5 linked regions of the Callithrix jacchus genome follow. The protein of the gene in region 1 binds, or shares a complex with, the protein of each later gene. Links are inferred from orthologs where the notes say so. Each region holds a gene or a part of one and is shown on either strand. Other genes may lie near its edges. The genes, in order: ALYREF, THOC1, MAGOH, CHTOP and SARNP.

Region 1 (4,073 bases):
CTCACTCCTTCTCAGTCTAGACTAGGTGGGCTGCTTGCTGAGGTGTTGGGGTGCTCGTAGGTGGAGAGGTGTGGGTGACCTGACGAAGAAGAACCGGTACCTTTGTCTTTACGACTACAGCCCCGCACTCAGAGGTGTACTATGGCGGTTCTGAGAAGGCTTCACAGAAGTGAATCTTCCGGAAGGAGCTGAAGGAGGGGAGGGATGTAGCTTGCTGGATGGGGGTTCACAAGAGGTTGGTCCAGATGTGTGGGGCAGCATGAGAGGTGGCAGATGGAAGAGAGAGACAAAGGGGCAAATGCAAAGTGTCCTCAGCCACAGGGGTACCCCATATTCCTACCTGGACAGGTGCCAGCCCCAAACTCCACAAGCCCGACAGTCAGCGTGGGTCCCCCCGCCCACACTCACCATCCAGAGGGACACCGTTATACTGCTTCATGGCTTTCAGGGCGTCTGCCTTCCGCTCAAAGTGTACATCTGCTGTTCCTAAGCTGCGGCCAGAGCGGTCATAGTGCACAGCTGCCTTTTTCAGTGTTCCAAATTCAGCAAAGAGTTCCTGGAGTTGCAAAGAGCAGTTGTCAGAAGAGCAACAAAACTGTGCTCCTTCTGGTGGCCCAGGGACAGGCCCTGGAAGCGTGAGCTGTTTTGGGGGTGGTTCCCTGGGAGGCAGGGCAGTGGTAATGGGAAATGAGGGAAGGGCAGGGCAGGAGGGACAGCAACTTCCAAGAGCGCCTGGGTCTGAGGGCTCCTGCCATTGAGGGGACCTGACAGGTGTACCACGATGCAGGTAGAGGAAGTCGCAAAGCCCACTAGAAAGGGGCACAAAATTAAGCCACTATCCTCTTCAACAAAGGAAAATTTACAACACACCCAAGGGCTGTTCCAAGAAACTGTAAAGGCCAAGATCAAGAGCAAGGGAACTGGTCCGGTATCAGACCAGCTTGAAGGGCCTGTTGACTTGGGAACCCTGACCCCAGCCCCTCCCCCAAAGGCAGATTCTGGCTCACCTTTCCCTCTCCTCCTACTCAAGCCTGCGGCAAAGTCTGAAGTCAAGCGCTGCCATGGAAACTGCCCTGACCTCAGGCAGGCTGGGAGTTGGAGAGGGAACCCAGAGTGTGGGGATACTCCGGCCGCAGGCACACAGCGGGAAGTGGAGTTCACCAAAAGCGGTTTCCAGTGGATGCTAGAAACCACCTTAAAAAAAGTGTTGAGACACTGTGAGTGCTCACTGGCCCTGCTCTGTCCTCCCAAGGCAAATGGCTAGGCTGTGGACAACTGAACCCTGCCCAGCCATCTCCAAAACTGATTCCCAAAAAGCCACTTCTTAACCAGAAAACAACTTTAAATGCCGTTGGGATTCAATTTTTCTTTCTTTCTTTTTTTTTTTTTTTTTTTTAAAAAAAAGCTTTAATGAGTTAGAGAATCAAGTCGCTGACAGGACATGGGGGCGGGGAGTGATAAAACCACAATTTACAAGGTCTTTTTAAGACAATACTCAAGTCAAACAGAGCTAGAAAAACACACAGGCTCCCTCTGCTTTACAAGGTACATAAGGAAGATTCTTTTTGTCACATTAACCCACTAAAACAGGCACTAAATTTAAAGCACAAGTGGGCTGAGTCTAACAGCCAAGAACCACTCACATTTGATCAGTCTTTTTCTCTGTTAGAAACTGGAAGCCCTGGCAGAGGATTTTCACTCACAGAACCCATATTCAGACTAAGAGCAGCAGATCCTCAGGCTAGGCTAGGCTCGCACCTGCCTGCGGACTGACCCTGGCTTTACTGGCGCTAGGTCTGTCCTGCAGCCCTTCAGAGCTGGGAGGGCTCCCTTTGCCAAGGCGGGAAGGGGACTCAGGGCCACATCCCCCAAAATATGATCCGTCCTGTGCAGGGCGAACGGGTCACCGAGAAGCCTTAGTCTCTTACCTGAATATCGGCATCTGACACTCCAAAATCCAGATTGGACACCAGCAGTTTCCCACCCGTCTCCACGCCGGCACCACCCCCGAAGCCACTGTCGAAAAGATCGTGCTGCCACTTGTCAGGAAGCTGTTTTGGCTGAAGGAAAAACCACAACAACAGCAGACCTGTGAGTCTCAGTCCAGGGCTTTCCCAGTCCTCGCGGCGACCCCGGACCCTTCCTCTTCCCGGCCTGAGAGGATCCGGCGGAGATGAGGCCGCCAGCGCTCCCTCCGGCCGCTAAAGCAGCCCCAGGTACGAGGCCGCACGGTCCCACCGCGGCAGCACAACTTCAGTTCCCTTCCACTAACTTCCCGCCGCTGTTGCCGCGCTCAGCTACCCCTCCGCTCACGCCGCCACGAGGTCCCGGCGGCCGGAACAAAGGGTTGAAAAGGGTCTCAGCCTCCGGGCCGGGCCCGGAATGAACGACCTCGCCCCCGCCCACCACCCCCTATGCGCCCTCCCACACGCACCCTCCGGACCTCCGGGCGGCCGCTCCACCAGCCCTATCAGCCAGCCGGGCTCGGCCTTCGCCGCCAGCCTCCCCGGCTTGCCCTCTCCGGTGCGGCCGGCCTCCACACTCACCCTGCTGTAGGGCGCCGGTCGGTTCCTCCCGCCTCCGCCGGCCGCGCCGCGGGCGATGGCCGGCCGGGTCCGGATAGGCCCGCCGCCTCGATTCACTCGCGCGGCGGCCTGCGCCCCGCCGCCGCGGCCGCCTTGGGAGCCGACCCGGCCGCGGCCCCGGCCCCCGCCGCGGCCTCCTCGCTGGCTCCGGTTCAGTTTAATGATGTCGTCCAGAGACATGTCCATTTTGTCGGCCATGGCGGGCGCGGAATCGGGCATCGGCTCGAGCCCGCGCGTCAGCACGCCAGCACGTCACCTCCGGCGCCGCGTGAGGCCTTCCGGTGCTACGGCCTCGGAGCGGCTAGTGATTGGCCGCCTGCGGACCGCAGCGCGCGCGGGACGGGGAGAGACGGGGAAGCGCGTGCGCACTGCCGCGCGGGACTCGGCGGGCGCTGCTGAGGGAGCCGGGCCGTGACTGTGGTCGTTTTTATACCTTCCCGCGCGGACGTCAGCGCTGCCAACGGAAGGGCGGGCAGAGCCGTGCGTGATTAGGTTGGCGAAGGTGCGAGGCCGCAGGGGGTTGGGCGGCGGTCGTTGGGAGTGGGGCATGCGCTCCCCTCCCTCCCCGCCTGCCCCGCCCTTCTGCTAGGGCTGGGGGCGCTGCGGGCGCGGCGGGTGTCCGGGAACCTGCGGGGGTCCTTGTTTCTGCGCCCGCCCGAGGGCTGTGCGCTTGGCTCGGGGCGGGATCCTGCGGGAGTGGCCTCAGCGGGCTGCAGCCGGTGCAGACCTGCTGCGGGTTGCTTTTTGGTTTTTGAGCCGGGGTTTTTGGTCTCCACCTGCAACCTCGAAGTCTCCAATCTCACATTTGCTAGTCATATCCTTTACAAGTTTTGGTACGGGCCCGGCGCGGGGCTCACGCCTGTGCTCCAAACTTTTTGGGAGGCCGAGGCAAGAGGATCGCTTCACCCTAGGAGTTTGAGACCAGCTGGGGCAACGTAGTGAGACCCCCATATCTAAAAAAAAAAAGTCGAAAGTCGGGTGTGCCATTGCACACTTGTAATCCCAGCTGCTTGGGAGGCCGAGGTGGAAGGATTGCTTGAGCTCAGTGAGGCCAGCCGGGCAACATAGTGAGACACTGTCTCTTAAAAAAAAAAAATTAGTCGGGCCGGGCGCGATGACTCATGTCTGTAATCCCAGCACTTTGGGAGGCCGGCTTGAACCCGGGAGGCGGAGATTGCAGTGAGCCAAGAGTGCGCCCTTGTACTCTAGCCTACACGACAGAGCAAGACTCCGTCTCAAAAACAAAAGAAAAGTAAAATAGAAACGGCTTACGATGTTCCTAGGCTGGGTTCGAATTCCTGGGCTGGAGTGATCTCCTGCCTTGGCCCCTTGAGTAGCTGAGACTACACTGTGCCAGGCTTATTCCTATTTTGGTGCCTAAATCTTCTAGTTCTGCAGACTAAATTAAGCCTGTCATCCTCTTCCCTTCGGGTACAGGCTCTGCTGCCATGAAGGTGAAGATTAAGTGCTGGAATGGCGTGGCCACTT
Region 2 (3,512 bases), on another chromosome or scaffold:
TCTGAAATATACTTATTTTACACCCTTTATCTTATGATTTTATTATCTAAAGTGGCCAACTTCTGTTGCTTGTTCTGTCTGCCAATTCTTGCTCATGGTGGACTGTTTCCCTGAGAGTTTTTAAAGTTTGGATGGTGAATTTATCTTTGGGTTTTATTTTTTTTAATAACCTTGTGAATATAACTTTAGATATTTATCTGTGGGAATCTTGTTTAGTTTGGGTTGAAGATTGGACCTTCAGAAAGATTTTTATTGCCAGCATGGGACTTTCTAGCTCACTATCTTAGCTTGAGGTAGGATTTTTCCTACTGCTGGTAGGAAAAATTTAAACTGTTAACACTGCCTGAGAGCAGACTTATGGTTACAATTTCTCAGGGAATACTTTCCCTGTCACCTACACCTTGGTAAAGGCAGATAAGCTTCCTTGTTTCCTGTGCCAGTGAGCGTGCCCCCACCCTGCCCTTCTTTTACAGATGTGTAGTGCTTCAAAAATTTCAGCTTTGTTCAGGGGAAAACTTGCTCACAAATTTGTGCAGGCCTAAGGCCTTTCTGTCCTTTCTGTGATTATTAAAACCCAAGTTCCCTGGTTCTCAAAGCTTGGAATCATTAGTGTTGCTCCCACAGAACCGTATCAGTTCATAGGCTTACTCTTCTATTTGTTTTGATTCCTTTTGTGAATCTTTATTTTTTTGTATTTCTAAAATTATTTTATCAGAACTTCTAGGTGTTTTATGGTGGGAAGCTATATTCTACTGTGCCAAAGTCAACCACAAAAAACTTAAATTTTGTTTGAGCTCTTTTCATAGCTGAGAAAAGGTTCCATTCTACTCAGCACTTGACAAAAGCAACACTTCATGTGAAAAATGTTCAACTTGCCTTGTTTCTGATTTGCAGGCTTCCATATTATCAGGACAAAGATTCCAAAGCCTTGTTAACTCCTCACTACAAAACAGATACACAAATAAATACATTTTTTATGGACACCATCCTCATGTGCCTTGAAACTGAATAGAAAAACAATACAATGCAAACAACAGATTTGGGATGTTGATAGTATGAGTTTTACTTTTCTCAATGATTTCTGGTATTTACAATACCTAAAATTATTCTCTATATAAGCATATTATTATCTATTATAATTCTGACTAATAATGATATAATCTTTAGGTTGTTTCCTAAAAATATTCAAGCATAATATAAAGCAATGAATTTGAATTTTAACTGGAAGGTAAGAGAACTCAAGGATTATGATATCTTGCAGCAACTAGAAGTGAGCTGCATCAGTCTAAACAATTCTACTGTCTGTGAAATGGAAAAAAGTGGCATAGCCATTTGATGTTAAGAGATGGAGAATTCTTACAGTAACATCTTTAAAATACAAAAATAAGAACATCCCACATAAAGGCAAGTTCACCTACTTTCCCATCAGAATTTTTTTGCTGGGTCCTTTCCCTAGGAAATCCTCGGGTGCTGTTCTCTTCCGAATTATTCTCGTAGGTTTGGTATCTGATGTTCTGTGGTGAACAAAACATACACTATTTTTTGAATTACAAATGGATAGCAGAAATAGAAGAATGTTTAATGTAAAAGAAAATTTAGTTATTGTTTTCCTCCTAAAAAAGATGAAAACTGGCTGGGCACAGTGGCTTACACCTATAATCCCAGCACTTTGGAAGGCTGAGGTGGGTGGATCACCTGAGTTCAGGAGTTCAAGACCAGCCTAGACAACATGTAAAACCCTGTCTCTACTAAAAATACAAAAATCAGCTAGCCATGGTGGTGCATGCCTGCAATCCCAGCTACTCATGAGGCTGAGGCATGAGAATTGCTTGAACCTGGGAAGTGGAGGTTACAGTGAGCCAAGATCGCACCACTGCACTCCAGCCTGGGTGACAGAGCGAGATTCCCATCTCAAAACAAAAGATGAAAACTTCATGTTTCTGATAGAACAATTATCAGAAATAAGACAAAAATGCCACATTATAGGGCAAATTACACAGAATATATATACAGTCTTCTCAATAATTTATATAGATGTTTGCTCTAGGAACTTAATGACAAGAAGTTTTTGAGGTTAAAAAAAATACAAACAGAGGTACATCAAAGTGATTGTACTCTTACAGAGTTCAACTTACATTTTTTATATGAAATATATATACATATCTTTACATGCTATAATCATATCAAAGCATACTTTGAAAAGCCTTTCTTATATATAGTTCTTGTGATGAGTATGTATTTACCTTTCTTTCACAAAACTTGGGCAACCTTCATTTTTCCATGAGTTCCAGTTTTCTTCAGTGTTTAATATATGCTGGGAAAAACAAATTCTATTTTGGTTAATGGAATCCTCTGAAATTCTCTTTCGTGCTAAAAAGAGGATGTAAACATAAAAATCACATACCTCTACCATCTTTGAAAATCTTTCTCCATCGGGGGGGTTTTCAGATAGTAGCTGTGATTAGAAAGAATATACTAAGCTTTCAACAACTTTCTGCATCATAGGAGTGGTTTGTAGGCAGAGAACCAAGGAGTGTTTGTGGTCTTGTACCTGAGCTTAACTTTATCCTTATTTTCCTATTTGGGGCTGAAACAAAGAAAATTCTAAATTTCCATTTTTTCAATCATGGGTTTGTTGCGTGTTGAACTTACTTGATAAACTGATTTTGTAGTATCTTCAATCCAAAGTGATTGTTCATCAGTTAAAACATAGTTTGAACTAGGGAACAAAGCAATGAAAGCATGCTTGAGTTAGAGCAATGCATATTCAATTTTAAGGTTTAAAAAACAGAAGGCATGTAACATGTAATATGCTGTGGATAGTGTCAAACATTACCAAGATAAACATAGTCACAAATGAGAGGATTATAAGAGAAAATTCTTGCATTTATTCCTCAAGAAGTTGGTACTGAAAACATAAAAGCATGTGCAGGAGAATAAAACATTCAATTAATCCATCAGATTAGCTATGAACAGAGCAATAAATGTTTCCTAAAATAAGCTGAATGTGAAATGAAAACCTCTGATTTGATATTAAGATATTTGTATACATAATGCACATTCAGTCTGGCATGCTACATTCCTTTAAGATACATTCAAAATACAACAAATAAAAACACCCAAACCCTAGGAAAGGTAACAGGCAAACCCATATTGTTACCAGCTGCCATTAATTGAGAACTCATTATGCACTAGTGATTTAAAGCCATCCTATAAATATTGATAGCTGGGATCTGAACACTTTACATGCATTATTCACTGAATTCTCAGAACAAATACAAGTACGTATTAAACAGACTATGGTGGCTCAATGATTTGCTCAAGGCCATAAAGCTTTAATTCAAACCTAGGTCTGACTCCAAAGTCCTTGATCTTTCTACTATGCCACACCAAACATCCAAAATAGATAGGATAAGAAATAACATTTTTTGAGTGTTTACCATGTGCTAGTACCTTAAAATTACAAGTGTGAAAGAGCTGTACTACAGCCAGCAAATGATAAGCCTAGGATG
Region 3 (4,254 bases), on another chromosome or scaffold:
CTTCTCTTTTATACAATTCCCTTGTTACTACCCATATCCAGTGTTTTGTAATAAAAATGCCTTATGGTTTTATAGCAATTTTGAAATTGTTTCTTATAACAGTTCTGCTAGGTGTACATTATTACGCTCATTTAAAGAGAAGGAAACTGAAGTCTAAAAAGTTGAGTCAGTTCACCTATAGTTACAATGAGTCACTGTTACACAAGCGATTATTTTAACCCATCTCCAGTGATTTTCCCCCACCACACCTACTCTACACTCTGCTTCTAATGCTTTTTCAGGGAGAAAAGGACTCAATGTTAAGACTGGGGACAGGAATCAAGACTGCGGTCCTGTCTGATTCCTGTCCCCAGTTCTAGTTGCCAGGTCCCAAGAATGATGTCATCTAGGCACTGTCTCTAGAACCATTCGTTCTAAGCTGGAACTTAGATGAATGAAAGTAGGCTCCTATTATAAAATTATGATCTTGATTGCCCTGGGCCTACTCAACTGTACATTTTTTCAGAGCCAGAAAGGCTTCATAGAGGACAATCACTTTACCCTGAAAAGAGCGAGCCCCTTTGGTCAGTGGTCCTCAACTCTGACTCACCTGGGAGCTTTATAAAAAGTACCAATTCCCAGGCCCAGCGGTGGAGATTTTAATTGGCTTGGGGCCCTGGCATCAGTATTTTTAGAGGCTCCCAGGTGATTGCAATGCGCAGCCAGGCTGAGAATCACTGCTGAGTAAATGGGATGAGTAATGGGAGATCAAATACTCACTTTAACTTCTCAAGCACCTATTCTGGAGACCAGTGGGGTAGAAAGATAGAAATAAAAGGTAGAAAGGGATGCAATGGATAAGTGTGAGTGAATTAGTTCCAGGGAAATGGCAATCTCCACTGTGGATTCAGGGAGAGCGTCACTGAGGACGACTTTCTTTTTTTTTTTTTGAGACAGAGAGGACGGCTTTCTTAACATTCAGGTCAGTGGAAGCCAACTTGAGGCACATATCGTGCGCGGCGTCCTCCGAGGAGCTCGGGTCATTTTACCCCACTTTACTGCCGAGATGACCTAGGTGCAGAGACGGTAAAGAGCGGTGTACGATTCACACAAGTCGGAAGTCCTGTGAACTGAGGTTGAGCCTGGCGGGTGCAAGGCTCGGGGTGTTCGGCCCGAGGTCTTTAAGTGAGGTCTCTGAACTCCTCGTTCAAAGCCCAGAGGTTGGTGAGCGGTAGGCTCTCGGCCTCAGGCCTGGAGAAAACCCAGGGGGTTGAGGGGTCAAATCTCAACCTCGCTCCCGCGTCCAGCTGGAGGGACCGAGCTGCTCGGCCCAGCCTCCGGACTAAACAAAGTTCGTTACCCGTGTAGCAGTCTTTTGCCGCTTCCGGGCGAAGAGGTTAGCAAGAGTGAAACCCTCCACTACGCGACGTCGTGGTAACGTCACTTCCGCGCGCCGCCCCAAACGTCAGTGTCGGGCGCAGACCGCGGCGGTGCGGCTTTCTCTTCGAGGTTCCGTCTCGGTTGTCTTTTGCGAGCCATGGAGAGTGACTTTTATCTACGTTACTACGTGGGGCACAAGGGCAAGTTCGGCCACGAGTTCCTGGAGTTTGAGTTCCGACCAGACGGTAAAAGCAGCCTGTAGCCTGCCGGGAGCGGGGACCAGGGATAAGGGCGGGCTACAGGCTGCCCGGAGTCGGGAGGCGGAGGGTCGGAAATCAGTGTGGAAAGACAGGAGGAAGGGACTGAGACCTGTGCAGCGAGAATCTGAAAGGAACGCCCCTGTGTCTGCTCCAGGGTTTTTTTGTTTTTGTTTTTTTTTAATCCATTTAACCAGTGTTGACCTTACGCTCACTGTGTGCCAGGCTCTGTTCCACTCTTTGGGGAAACGGCAGCGAAGGTAGACAAACTTCCCCTCTCATGGAATTTGTGTTTTAGTGCCGGGAGAGAGATCATAAACAAAAAGATGATTCCAGATAGTAGTGAGTGATTAAAAAAAAAAAGGTAGAATAATTGCTGGATGGGCTGCTTTTAGATAGGTTGACCATTAGAGCTCTCTGTAAAGGGTATATTGCAGCCGATCCCTACTTAACAACAAGGACCCAGCCTTGTGAAGCTCAGGAGGAAGACCATTCCACCCAAAGGGATTGGCAAATGTCAAGGCTGCAGGGCGGGAATGAGCTAGGCATGCCTCTCAAGTGGTCAGTGTGGTTAAAGAGTGATAAGGTGAGAGATAGCAGGAGATGACGTCAAATAGGTAGGTAGGAGCCACACCTTGTAAGTCTTTAAAGACCATGGTAAAAGCTTTGGACTTGAAAGGTTTGTTGTTGTTTGGACTTGGAAGGGTTGTTGTTTGTTGTTGTTTTGAGATGGAGTTTCGCTCTTTTTGCCCAGTCTGGAGTGCAGTGGCACTATCTTGGCTCACTGCAACCTCCGTCTCCCGGGTTCAAGAGATTCTAAGCCTCCGCCTCCCGAGTAGCTGGAATTACAGGCACCCACCACCACACCCGGCTAATTTTGTATTTTTGGTAGAGATGGGGTTTCACCATGTTGGCCAGGCTGGTCTCGGACTCCTGACCTCAGATGATCCGCCCACCTTGGCCTCCCAAAGTGCTGGGATTGCAGGCGTGAGCCACTGCTCCCAGCCGGACTTGGAAGGTTTTAAACAGAGAAGAAATGGGATCTGTTCTTGAAAAAGCATTCTGGTTATTGGGTGCACAAGGGCAAGAGTGGAAACAGGGCTATTGATTAGGAGGAGACTGTTGCAGTTGTCAAGACAAGAAAGTTATTGGTTGGGACTACGGCAACAGTAGAAATGGAGAGGATGGTTTAGGAAACTGTTGGAGGCAGAAACAGTTGGACTTTGCTGATTGATAGGATCTTGTTGAGGGGGCACTGTGGTGAAGGAAAGAGGAATCAAAGATAACAGAAAACATCCACTAAGTGGGGCACAAAGATGAAACTGACAGGCCTCGACTGTGAGGGAGATAGATTTATAAGCAAACAGTGATGAAACAGTGTATTGGGTGTTGTGGTAAAAAGAAACAGAGGAGGCTCGCAGCAGAGAAGAGGCACCTAACCAAGCCAGAGGGTCAGAGAAGGCTTCCTACATAAAATGATGTGGGAGAAAGGGATGTGAGGAATTGGTTAGGAGACCAAGAGTCAAGAAGGCATTTTAGACAACATGCAAAGAGGCTGAAAACCAAAAAGTGCTTGGGATGTTTCAGACAGAATACCAAATAGTTTGACTCCAGCCATGTGAGAGAAGAATATTGCAGGAGTGAGGCTAGAAAAGCAGGCAGGGGCCAGCTTAGCTGTATGCCATGTTGAGGAGTTTGGATTTTACCAGGAAGGCAGTGGAAAGCCATTAACTGTATTAAAATATTAGAGTAACCCAATCTGATAGGTCTGTTACCACATCACCGCGTCCACCGTATGGACAGTGAACTGAATGTGAAGAAACTTGAGGCAGAGACACAACACAGAGGCTGTTGGATAAATTCATTTGGCTCATCTCACATGTATGTCTTCTAGTCTACGGCAGGAGAAGTCATGTCTTCTATTTACTTTTATCTTCCCCTCATCCCCACCATATACTCACATTAACCTATTACATGCACCCATGGACAAAGGGTCTGGTGTACCAAATATGCTCAGTGATAAAAGCAACAGCTTTTCCATCACAGAAATAGAGGGTGGCACAGTCACATGATAATATATGTAAACAGCATCCTACAGTTTTCAAAATGTTTTCACAACTCATTTGAGCCTCAGGAGGTCCTATGTACGGGTAAGTTATCAATTACTATGCCTGTTTTCAGGATATTAACCTGCAAAAATGTGATTTGACAATGTCAGAAAAGAGCCTGCTTGTGTTTATATCTCACCTGAGCTGCGTTTTGCAGTAGAGTGTCAGCTGTATATTTGGCTGTTTAAGCCTGAAGTGAACTGAAAAAGACTAGTATTGTTGATATACCATAAGAGTAAATAATAAATCTATTAGACACTTTGAGCAAGTTAGATACATTTTAGGGAACTGCTGATAGTCTTGGTATGTATTGATGCTTTTATTCATATGTTTTTATTATACATGGAATTTGTTTTTTGCCCCCACAGGGAAATTAAGATACGCCAACAACAGCAATTACAAGAATGATGTCATGATCAGAAAAGAGGTATGAGTCTTCTGCCTTCTGAGAGTCCTTCATTTGCTACATTTCAGCTTTTTGTCTTGCATTTTTTTGTTCTTTCTGGTAGTACTGAAAGGTAGAGAACAGG
Region 4 (4,136 bases), on another chromosome or scaffold:
AATCCTCCCACCTCAGTCTCCTGAGTAGCTGGGACCACAGATGTGCACCACCATCTCTGGCTAATTTAAAAATTTTCTGGAGAGACGGGGGTCTTGCTATGTCGCCCAGGCTTGTCTCAAACTCCTGGCTTCAAGTTATCCTCCCACCCTTGGCCTCCTAAAATGACGGGATCACAGGCATGAGCTGCTGCGCCCAGAAAAAGTGCTTAAGTTTCTATGACAATTACCTCAGATTATTAAAACTTTAAGGTGGCAGGGTGTGGTGGTTCACCATCTGTAATCCTAATACTTTAGGAGGGCAAGGCCACAGGATGGCTTGAGGCCAGGAGTTGGAGTTCAGCCTGGGTAACAAAGTGAGACCCAGACTCTATTAAGAAAATAAATAAATAAATAAATAGTGGTGCGTGGTTGCCAGCACCTGTGATCCTAGCTACTGAGGGAGGATCACTAGAGGCCAGGAGTTGGAGGCTGCAATGAGCCATGATCACACCACTGCACCCAGTTCTCACTCCGGCCCAGGTGAGAACCCATCTCTTTAAAACATACTAACAAGCAAAAAACCCAAAACAAACTTCAAGGCCCAGAAAATACCTGTGAAATTCTCAAAAATGGCAGAACCCAATCCAGCAATGAGAATGTGGAGTTTGGCTTTTTTTTTTTTTTTTTGAGACAGAGTCTTGCTCTGTCACCCAGGCTGGAGTGCAGTGGCCTGATCTGGGTTCAGTGCAACCTCTGCCTCCCGGTTCAAGGGATTCTCCTGCCTCACCTCCTGAATAGCTGGATCTACAGGTAGGTGCTACCATGCCCGGCTAATTTTATTTTTAGTAGATATGGGGTTTCTCCAGGTTGGCCAGGGTGGTCTCAAACTCCTGACCTTGCCTGATCCACCAGCCTCGGCCTCCCAAAGTGCTGGGATTACTGGCCTGAGCCACCACACCCGGCTGAGTTTGGCTTTTAATTTAGAGCAGTCATTTTCTTTTCTTTCTTTTTTTTTTTTTTTCTGAGACGGAGTTTCGCCCGTTACCCAGGCTGGACTGCAATGGCGCTATTTCGGCCCACCGTAACCTCCGCCTCCTGGGTCCAGGCAATTCTCCTGCCTCAGCCTCCCGAGTAGCTGGGATTACAGGCACACACCACCATGCCCAGCTAATTCCTTGTATTTTTAGTAGAGATGGGGTTTCACCATGTTGACTAGGATGGTCTTGGATCTCTTGACCTCGTGATCCACCCGCCTCGGCCTCCCAAAGTGCTGGGATTACAGGCTTGAGCCACTGCGCCCGGCCAGAGCAGTCATTTTCAACCTTGACTACATGACTTACCCAAAGAGGTTTTAAAAAAAAAATAGGTCCAGGTACTACGGGAGCGGTGGCTCACACCTGTAATCCTAGCCCTTTGGTGGGAGGCCGAGGTGGGTGGATCACCTGAGGTCAGGAGTTCGAGACCAGTCTGGCCAACATGGTGAACCCGTCTCTACTAAAAATACAAAAATGCTGGGCGTGGTGGCTCATGCCTGTAATCCAAGCACTTTGGAGGCCAAGGCAGGTGGATCACCTGAGGTCGGGAGTTCAAGACCAGCCTGACCAACATGGCGAAACACTGTCTTAAACGAACAAAAGAAAGCAAAAAAAAAAATTAGCCGGGCTAGCGACAGTGCCTGTGTAATCCCAGCTACTTGGGAGGCTGGGGCAGGAGAATCGCTTGAACCCGAAAGGCAGAGGTTGCAGTGAGCCGAGAGCATGCCATTGTACTCCAACCTTGGCAACAAGTGTGAAATTCCGTATCAAAAACAAACAAAAATAGGGCTGGGCAAGGTGGCTCACGCCTGTAATCTCAACACTTTGGGAGGCCAAGGAGAGAGGACTGCTTGAGCCCAGCAGTTCGAGACCAGCCTGGGCAACATGGTAAGACCTTGTTTCTATTAAAACATAAATTAAAAAAATACGAATATCTGGGCCTAGATTAAACCAGAATCTCTGGTAGTGAGGTTTGGAAATGAATAATTGTGGGGTGGGGGAAAGCTACCTAGGGGTGCTTCCAATGTGCAGCTAAAGTAGAGAAACACAGATTTACAGAGTGAAAATACAGGTATGCCTAGTTTCAAAATTGGATTTCAACTCCAGAATTAAGTAGGGTCTTTAACAAGGAACTGAGGATCTGGGGCAGTGATTAGGAAAGGTTTTCTATATTCACCTGGTAATTAGCTCGCAGAGAGCCCTCCACAATATTTAACCCTAACGCTGCCATTAATTTCCAACATTTCTCATTTAATCTCCCTACCATCCTCAAAGCCCTGTCAAGACTCCCACTTTTGCTCAACCCGCCAAATAAGTTCCCTTTTTATCCCTATCAAACCCAACCTCCCTCAATCCCGCCACCAGGTTCCAGTTCAGCCCCTCCCCCGTCCCCTCGCAGGGGCTCCGCCTCCTCCCCGGGGCCTCCACGCTCCGCCACCTGAGCCGTTTCCACGTGCCACCACCCGCTCTCCGCATCTACTGGCCCCTTCCACTCCCCAAGACTCCCTGCTCCTTCTCACTACCGAAACTCACCGAAGGAAACAGACGCCAGGGTTCCTCCCGGGGCTGCCACCACGGCTCCGGCAGGCGGGCCGGGGACCGGCCGAACCTGAATTGACGGTGGAGGGGCTCGGGTTAGCTAGATGGGCGGTTGGTTAGATGCGTAAGCTGTAGTATGCGAACTTAGTTTGTTGTTGCTGGTTGGCTGTCTAGTCGGCAAATCCGTCTGCTCACTCGGCCTGCCCTTTCCCGACTTTCGTCTGCAGCGGCCGCCAGCTCCGTCTCAGTGTCCAAAACAAAATGGCCGCCACGTCCCGTGCGTGTAGGACCGGCTAAAATGGCGTCTACGCAATTACGTCAGGAGTCAGATCTGCGCACGACTAGAGGGCGGGAAAGATTTGAGCTACGCCTGCGCAGAAATCAGAGGCGGAGCCTTATGGCGAAGGCGGGGCTTGAGCAAACGTTACTTTAGCGTTGCAAGCAGTGCTCCGTCCCCCCAGGGGCGTGGCCAGTGGTCCCGTAGTGGGGTCGTGCAGGGTTACCGTAGGCCGTTACCGTAGTGGTTGCACGGCGACTTCCTGGGGTAGTTCGTAGAGGGGATTTTAGTCCCGAGTTCCCTCGTCCCCCCGTTCCCCAGCCAAGGTACACAGTTTAAAAATCTTTACACGGGCGGAGCGCGGTGGCTCACGCCTGTAATCCCAGCACTTTGGGAAGCCGAGACGGGCGGATCACGAGGTCAAGATATCGAGGCCATCCTGGCCATGGTGAAACCCCGTCTCTATTAAAAAAAAAATAAAATAAAATCTTTACATGGACTTGCCTCATCTTCTACCGGACCACTGGGCCTGGGGAATTTGTACTGGTTTTCCCCTCATGTCCACTCGCCCAGTCTGAGAGTTGTGAAGTGCCGTAAATGCTCCGGCCAAGGCCCAGGAGGCCAGTATTGGGAGCACACTCCTCGCGGATCCTTCGCCGGCTCCACGGCCGCCCGTCCATGTTTTCCTCCTCACTTCCTCCTCTCCCCACAATACTGTTTAATCCTTCTTGTGAGGGCACCTTTGCATCTCCGATTTCTCTTCCATGTCCTCCCTCCACACCTGCCATCCGTGTTGATTTTGTTGCAGACCTACAAAGGGATTTATCTTTTCTCTCTGATTTTTTGTTGTTGTTTTGCGACGGGCTGTTCAGGCTGCAGTCAGTGGCACAATCAAGGATCACTGCAGCCTTGATCTCCTGGGCTCAGATGATCCTCCCACTTCAGCCTCCCGAGTTCTGGGATTATAGGCGTGAGCTATGTGCCCTGCTCAATAAGGAATTTTTCTTTCTTTCTTTCTTTTTCTTTTTGCAGATGGAGTCTCCGTCACCCAGACCGGAGTGCAATGGTGCAATCTCGGCTTACTGCAACCTCTGCCTCCTGAGTTCAAGCAATTCTCCTGACCTCAAATGATCTGCCCTCCTCTGTTACCTAAAGTGCTGGGATTACAGTCATGAGCCAACGCGCCCGGCCTCAGTAAAAGATTTTTTAATGGTTTTGTACACAATACAGTGTGCATACGTTTGATTAATGAGAGAATGCAACCCCGCCCCATAGGCACGTCAAGACCCTTTCATTTTTCCTTCCTG
Region 5 (3,512 bases), on another chromosome or scaffold:
GGTAGAGATCTGGTTTTATCTTCTCCAGATGTAGCAGATTTTATGTGCATCAGTTTCTGCCTTCATTATTGGATTTTTTGGGGGAAAACAAAGTGATTATAATTTTAACCTTGGTAAGTGATCAAGATGGTTTTGTAGCAGGGCTTGACCTGAATATTTTAATATTCTTTAGCTGAAGAGGAGGCAAATGAAGAAGATGTACTGGGAGATGAAACAGAGGTGAGTTGGATAGAGTAAGGTTAGTCTCTGGTCTGGTAATGCGCAACTGCCTTGGCCACATTGCTTTAACATCAGTTACTGGAGAACTTCGATGTAAATTTATTAAGGGAGCATAAAATGGGTATGAAGGTTCTGAGAGACTGGTTTATTTTAAAGTTCTGGTGTTCTTCTGTTGATAGATATTTATTCTTTAGATTTATGTTAACCACCTTGTTTCATTTGGTTTTAGGAAGAAGAAACAAAGCCTATAGAGCTCCCTGTCAAAGAGGAAGAACCCCCTGAAAAAACTGTTGATGTGTAATTATCCCTTTTTTATAATCTGAGTACAGAGCAGGCAGCTCTTTTTTTAAATTGTGTTTAATGTTTAACTCTGTTTACCTCTTAGATGTTCCCATTGGCCTTTTCATTTCTGGTTAGATCTTTTTGGTTTTTTTTTTTCAAGAAGGGGCTACTTCAAAGTACTTGGTCCCAGTGAAGCAAAGCAAATTTTCTCCGAGTTATATAATAGGTAATTAGGACCAAGCGACTTCAAAACCAGACATAGTTTAATTCTCCTAGCCTTTGTTTTTCTTTTGTAGGGTCACCATAATAGATTATTTTGTTACTCTATAGAGAATCTGCACAGTTCTCTATACAGTGTAAAACTGTAAACTCTGTTAACTCTTTTTTTTTTCTTTTTTTTTGAGACAGGGTCTTACTGTGTCTCCCAGACTGGAGTGCAGTGGCGTAGTCTCGGCTCACTGCAACCTCTGCTTCCCAGGCTCAAACAATTATCCTGCCTCAGCCTCCCAAATAGCTGGGATTACAGGCATGCGCCACTACTGCCCTTCTAATTTTTGTAGTTTTCTTTCTTTTTCTTATCCTTCCAGGACAAGTGGCACTCTGCACCGGACCCTGGTCCCAGCAATTTTTGTATTTTTAGTAGAGATGGGGTTTCACCACATTGGCCAGGCTAGTCTTGAACTCCTGACTTCCAATGATCCACCTGCCTTGGCCTACCAAAGTGCTGGGATTATAGGCATGAGCCACCGTGCCTGGCCCATTCTGTTAACTCTTAAGAGTTTTGCAGTTTTCTGTAAAACTATAAAACTGAGGCCAGGCACAGTGGCTCATGCCTGTAATCCCAGCATTTTGGGAGGCCGAGGCGAATGGATCATGAGGTCAGGAGTTCAAGATTAGCCTGGCCAAGACGATGAAACCCCATCTTTACTAAAAATACAAAAATCAGCTGGGCATGGTGGTGGCAACCTGTAACACCAGCTACTCTGGAGTCTGAAGCAGTAGAATTGCTTGAACCTGGAGCTGTCGGTTGCAATGAGCTGAGATTATGCCAGTACACTCCAACCTGGGCGACAGAGCAAGATTCTGTCTGAAAAAAAAAAAAAAGTAGAACTGTATATAAGGAGTTTTGTAAGGGAGGAGGGTGTTGGATAGAGGTTACGTTTCTCAAGTAACACTCTGTTCTGTCTTGCTTTCTGATTTATAGTGGAGGAGGGGAAGACAAAGTACTAGAGTGGAAAGTAGATCTTGATTTGTTTAAATTATCCCACAAAGGTGATCCTAAACATCTTTAATTTGGGGCTTTTTCCACAACTCTCTGGCCATTTTGTACTATAGCACATTAACAACAGTTGAGTCCCTTTTAGCATTTTTGTTCTTCATAGCTGTGTTAATGCATTTAATTATAAAAGGCTACACACACACACACATAATTTTACTTTTTGAGAAGGAGTCTCGCTCTGTCGCCAGGCTGGAGTATAATGGCATGATCTCAGCTCACTGCAACCTCCGCCTCCTGGGTTCAAGTGATTCTCCTGTGTCAGCCTCCCGAGTAGCTGGGACTACAGGTGCTCATCACCACGCCCAGCTAATTTTTATATTTTTTAGTAGAGACAGTGTTTCACCATGTTGACCAGGATGGTCTCAATCTCTTGACCTTGTGATCGCCCACCTTGGCCTCCCAGAGTGCTGTGATTATAGGCATGAGCCACCATGCCCAGCCAAAAGGCAATATGTTTACAAGCAAAAAATCAGTACCGGGCCGGGCGTGGTGGCTCATGCCTGTAATCCCAGCACTTTGGGAGGCCAAGGTGAGTGGATCATGAGGTCAAGAGATTGACACCATCCTGGTCAACATGGTGAAACCCCGTCTCTACTAAAAATACAAAAAATTAGCTGGGCATGGTGGTGCGTGCCTGTAATCCCAGTGACTCAGGAGCCTGAGGCAGAATTGCCTGAACCCAGGAGGCGGAGGTTGCGATGAGCCGAGATCGCGCCATTGCGCTCCAGCCTGGGTAAAAAGAGCGAAACTGCGTCTCAAAAAAAAAAAAAAATCAGTACCTAGAGGAGTATATCAATTGAAAATTAAGTACTCTTTGTATTCATTCTCATTTGACTTTACTGAGGTTTTTAGAACAGTACATTCTTTTTGAAATATTTTATACATGTATACACACACTATGCACACTGTTCCTTGATTTTTTTTTTCATGTCTGGAAATTTTTTATATCATAATTTTCTTATTTAAGTGTTATATGCTAGGCATCGTTCTGAATGTAAATAGTTTCTTTTAATCCTCGGTAGACCCTATGAAGTCAGGATAATTATCCTAGGAAGTGGTCTCTTTTGTTTAGCTTGTTATTATGGGAAATTACAAGTATATACAAAAGTTATGAGACTAGTATAATAGACTCTCATCTACCAATAACCCAGATTTACTAGCTATCAACTTAGAACCTTGTTGTTTCTAGCATTTAATAGTATTCCATTCTGTGGGTAAACAGTAATTTATTTCACCAGTCTCCTGTTGATGGACATTTAGGGTATTCATAAAAGCCAAAAAAAAAAAAAATGTAGTTCTGCATGTCTTTTTATAATTATTTATACACACAAGTATAACCATAGGGTAAATTCCTAGCAGTGGATTTGCTGCATCACAGAGGATGTAACATTTAACATTTTGATATCTTTTTGTCAAATATTCCTTTATTTATTTTTTGAGACAGGGTCTCACTCTCTTGCCCAGGCTAGAGTATGGTGGCACAATCTTGGCTAACTGCAGTCTCCATTTCCTGGCTCAAGTAGTTCTCCAGCCTCAGTCTTCCAAGTAGCTGGGACTATAGGCACAAGCCACCACACCTGGCTCTTTTGTAATTTTTGTAGAGATGGGGTTTCACCATGTTTCCCAGGCTGGTCTTGAACTCCTGAGCTCAAATCGATCCACCTGCCTTGGCTTCCCAAAGTGCTGGGATTACAGGTGTGAGCTGCCATGCCCAGCCTGTCAAATACTTCTT

Evidence for each region.
Region 2: ALYREF (region 1) and THOC1 share a complex: the UniProt entries of both Homo sapiens proteins name them as parts of the transcription/export (TREX) complex. The link is inferred for Callithrix jacchus from reciprocal best matches to the Homo sapiens genes ALYREF and THOC1.
Region 3: ALYREF (region 1) and MAGOH share a complex: the UniProt entries of both Homo sapiens proteins name them as parts of the ALYREF/THOC4-EJC-RNA complex. The link is inferred for Callithrix jacchus from reciprocal best matches to the Homo sapiens genes ALYREF and MAGOH.
Region 4: ALYREF (region 1) and CHTOP share a complex: the UniProt entries of both Homo sapiens proteins name them as parts of the transcription/export (TREX) complex. The link is inferred for Callithrix jacchus from reciprocal best matches to the Homo sapiens genes ALYREF and CHTOP.
Region 5: ALYREF (region 1) and SARNP share a complex: the UniProt entries of both Homo sapiens proteins name them as parts of the transcription/export (TREX) complex. The link is inferred for Callithrix jacchus from reciprocal best matches to the Homo sapiens genes ALYREF and SARNP.

The regions. Positions count from the first base shown.
Region 1 is NC_133506.1:137,488,175-137,492,247, forward strand, and holds the start of ALYREF (THO complex subunit 4), read right to left. Parts: upstream 2,811-4,073; 5' UTR 2,805-2,810; coding exon 2,547-2,804; intron 2,061-2,546; coding exon 1,929-2,060; intron 557-1,928; coding exon 409-556; intron 1-408. Other genes in the region: anaphase-promoting complex subunit 11, read left to right, coding at 4,034-4,073. UniProt on the Homo sapiens protein: Functions as an mRNA export adapter; component of the transcription/export (TREX) complex which is thought to couple mRNA transcription, processing and nuclear export, and specifically associates with spliced mRNA and not with unspliced pre-mRNA.
Region 2 is NC_133514.1:63,805,709-63,809,220, reverse strand, and holds part of THOC1 (THO complex subunit 1), read right to left. Parts: intron 2,720-3,512; coding exon 2,653-2,719; intron 2,456-2,652; coding exon 2,405-2,455; intron 2,315-2,404; coding exon 2,244-2,314; intron 1,536-2,243; coding exon 1,419-1,535; intron 943-1,418; coding exon 877-942; intron 1-876. UniProt on the Homo sapiens protein: Component of the THO subcomplex of the TREX complex which is thought to couple mRNA transcription, processing and nuclear export, and which specifically associates with spliced mRNA and not with unspliced pre-mRNA.
Region 3 is NC_133508.1:90,378,527-90,382,780, reverse strand, and holds the start of MAGOH (protein mago nashi homolog), read left to right. Parts: upstream 1-1,446; 5' UTR 1,447-1,516; coding exon 1,517-1,604; intron 1,605-4,092; coding exon 4,093-4,151; intron 4,152-4,254. UniProt on the Homo sapiens protein: Required for pre-mRNA splicing as component of the spliceosome. Plays a redundant role with MAGOHB as core component of the exon junction complex (EJC) and in the nonsense-mediated decay (NMD) pathway.
Region 4 is NC_133519.1:14,052,244-14,056,379, reverse strand, and holds the start of CHTOP (chromatin target of PRMT1 protein), read right to left. Parts: upstream 2,811-4,136; 5' UTR 2,547-2,810; intron 1-2,546. UniProt on the Homo sapiens protein: Plays an important role in the ligand-dependent activation of estrogen receptor target genes. May play a role in the silencing of fetal globin genes.
Region 5 is NC_133510.1:63,852,586-63,856,097, forward strand, and holds part of SARNP (SAP domain-containing ribonucleoprotein), read left to right. Parts: intron 1-172; coding exon 173-219; intron 220-448; coding exon 449-516; intron 517-3,512. UniProt on the Homo sapiens protein: Binds both single-stranded and double-stranded DNA with higher affinity for the single-stranded form. Specifically binds to scaffold/matrix attachment region DNA. Also binds single-stranded RNA. Enhances RNA unwinding activity of DDX39A.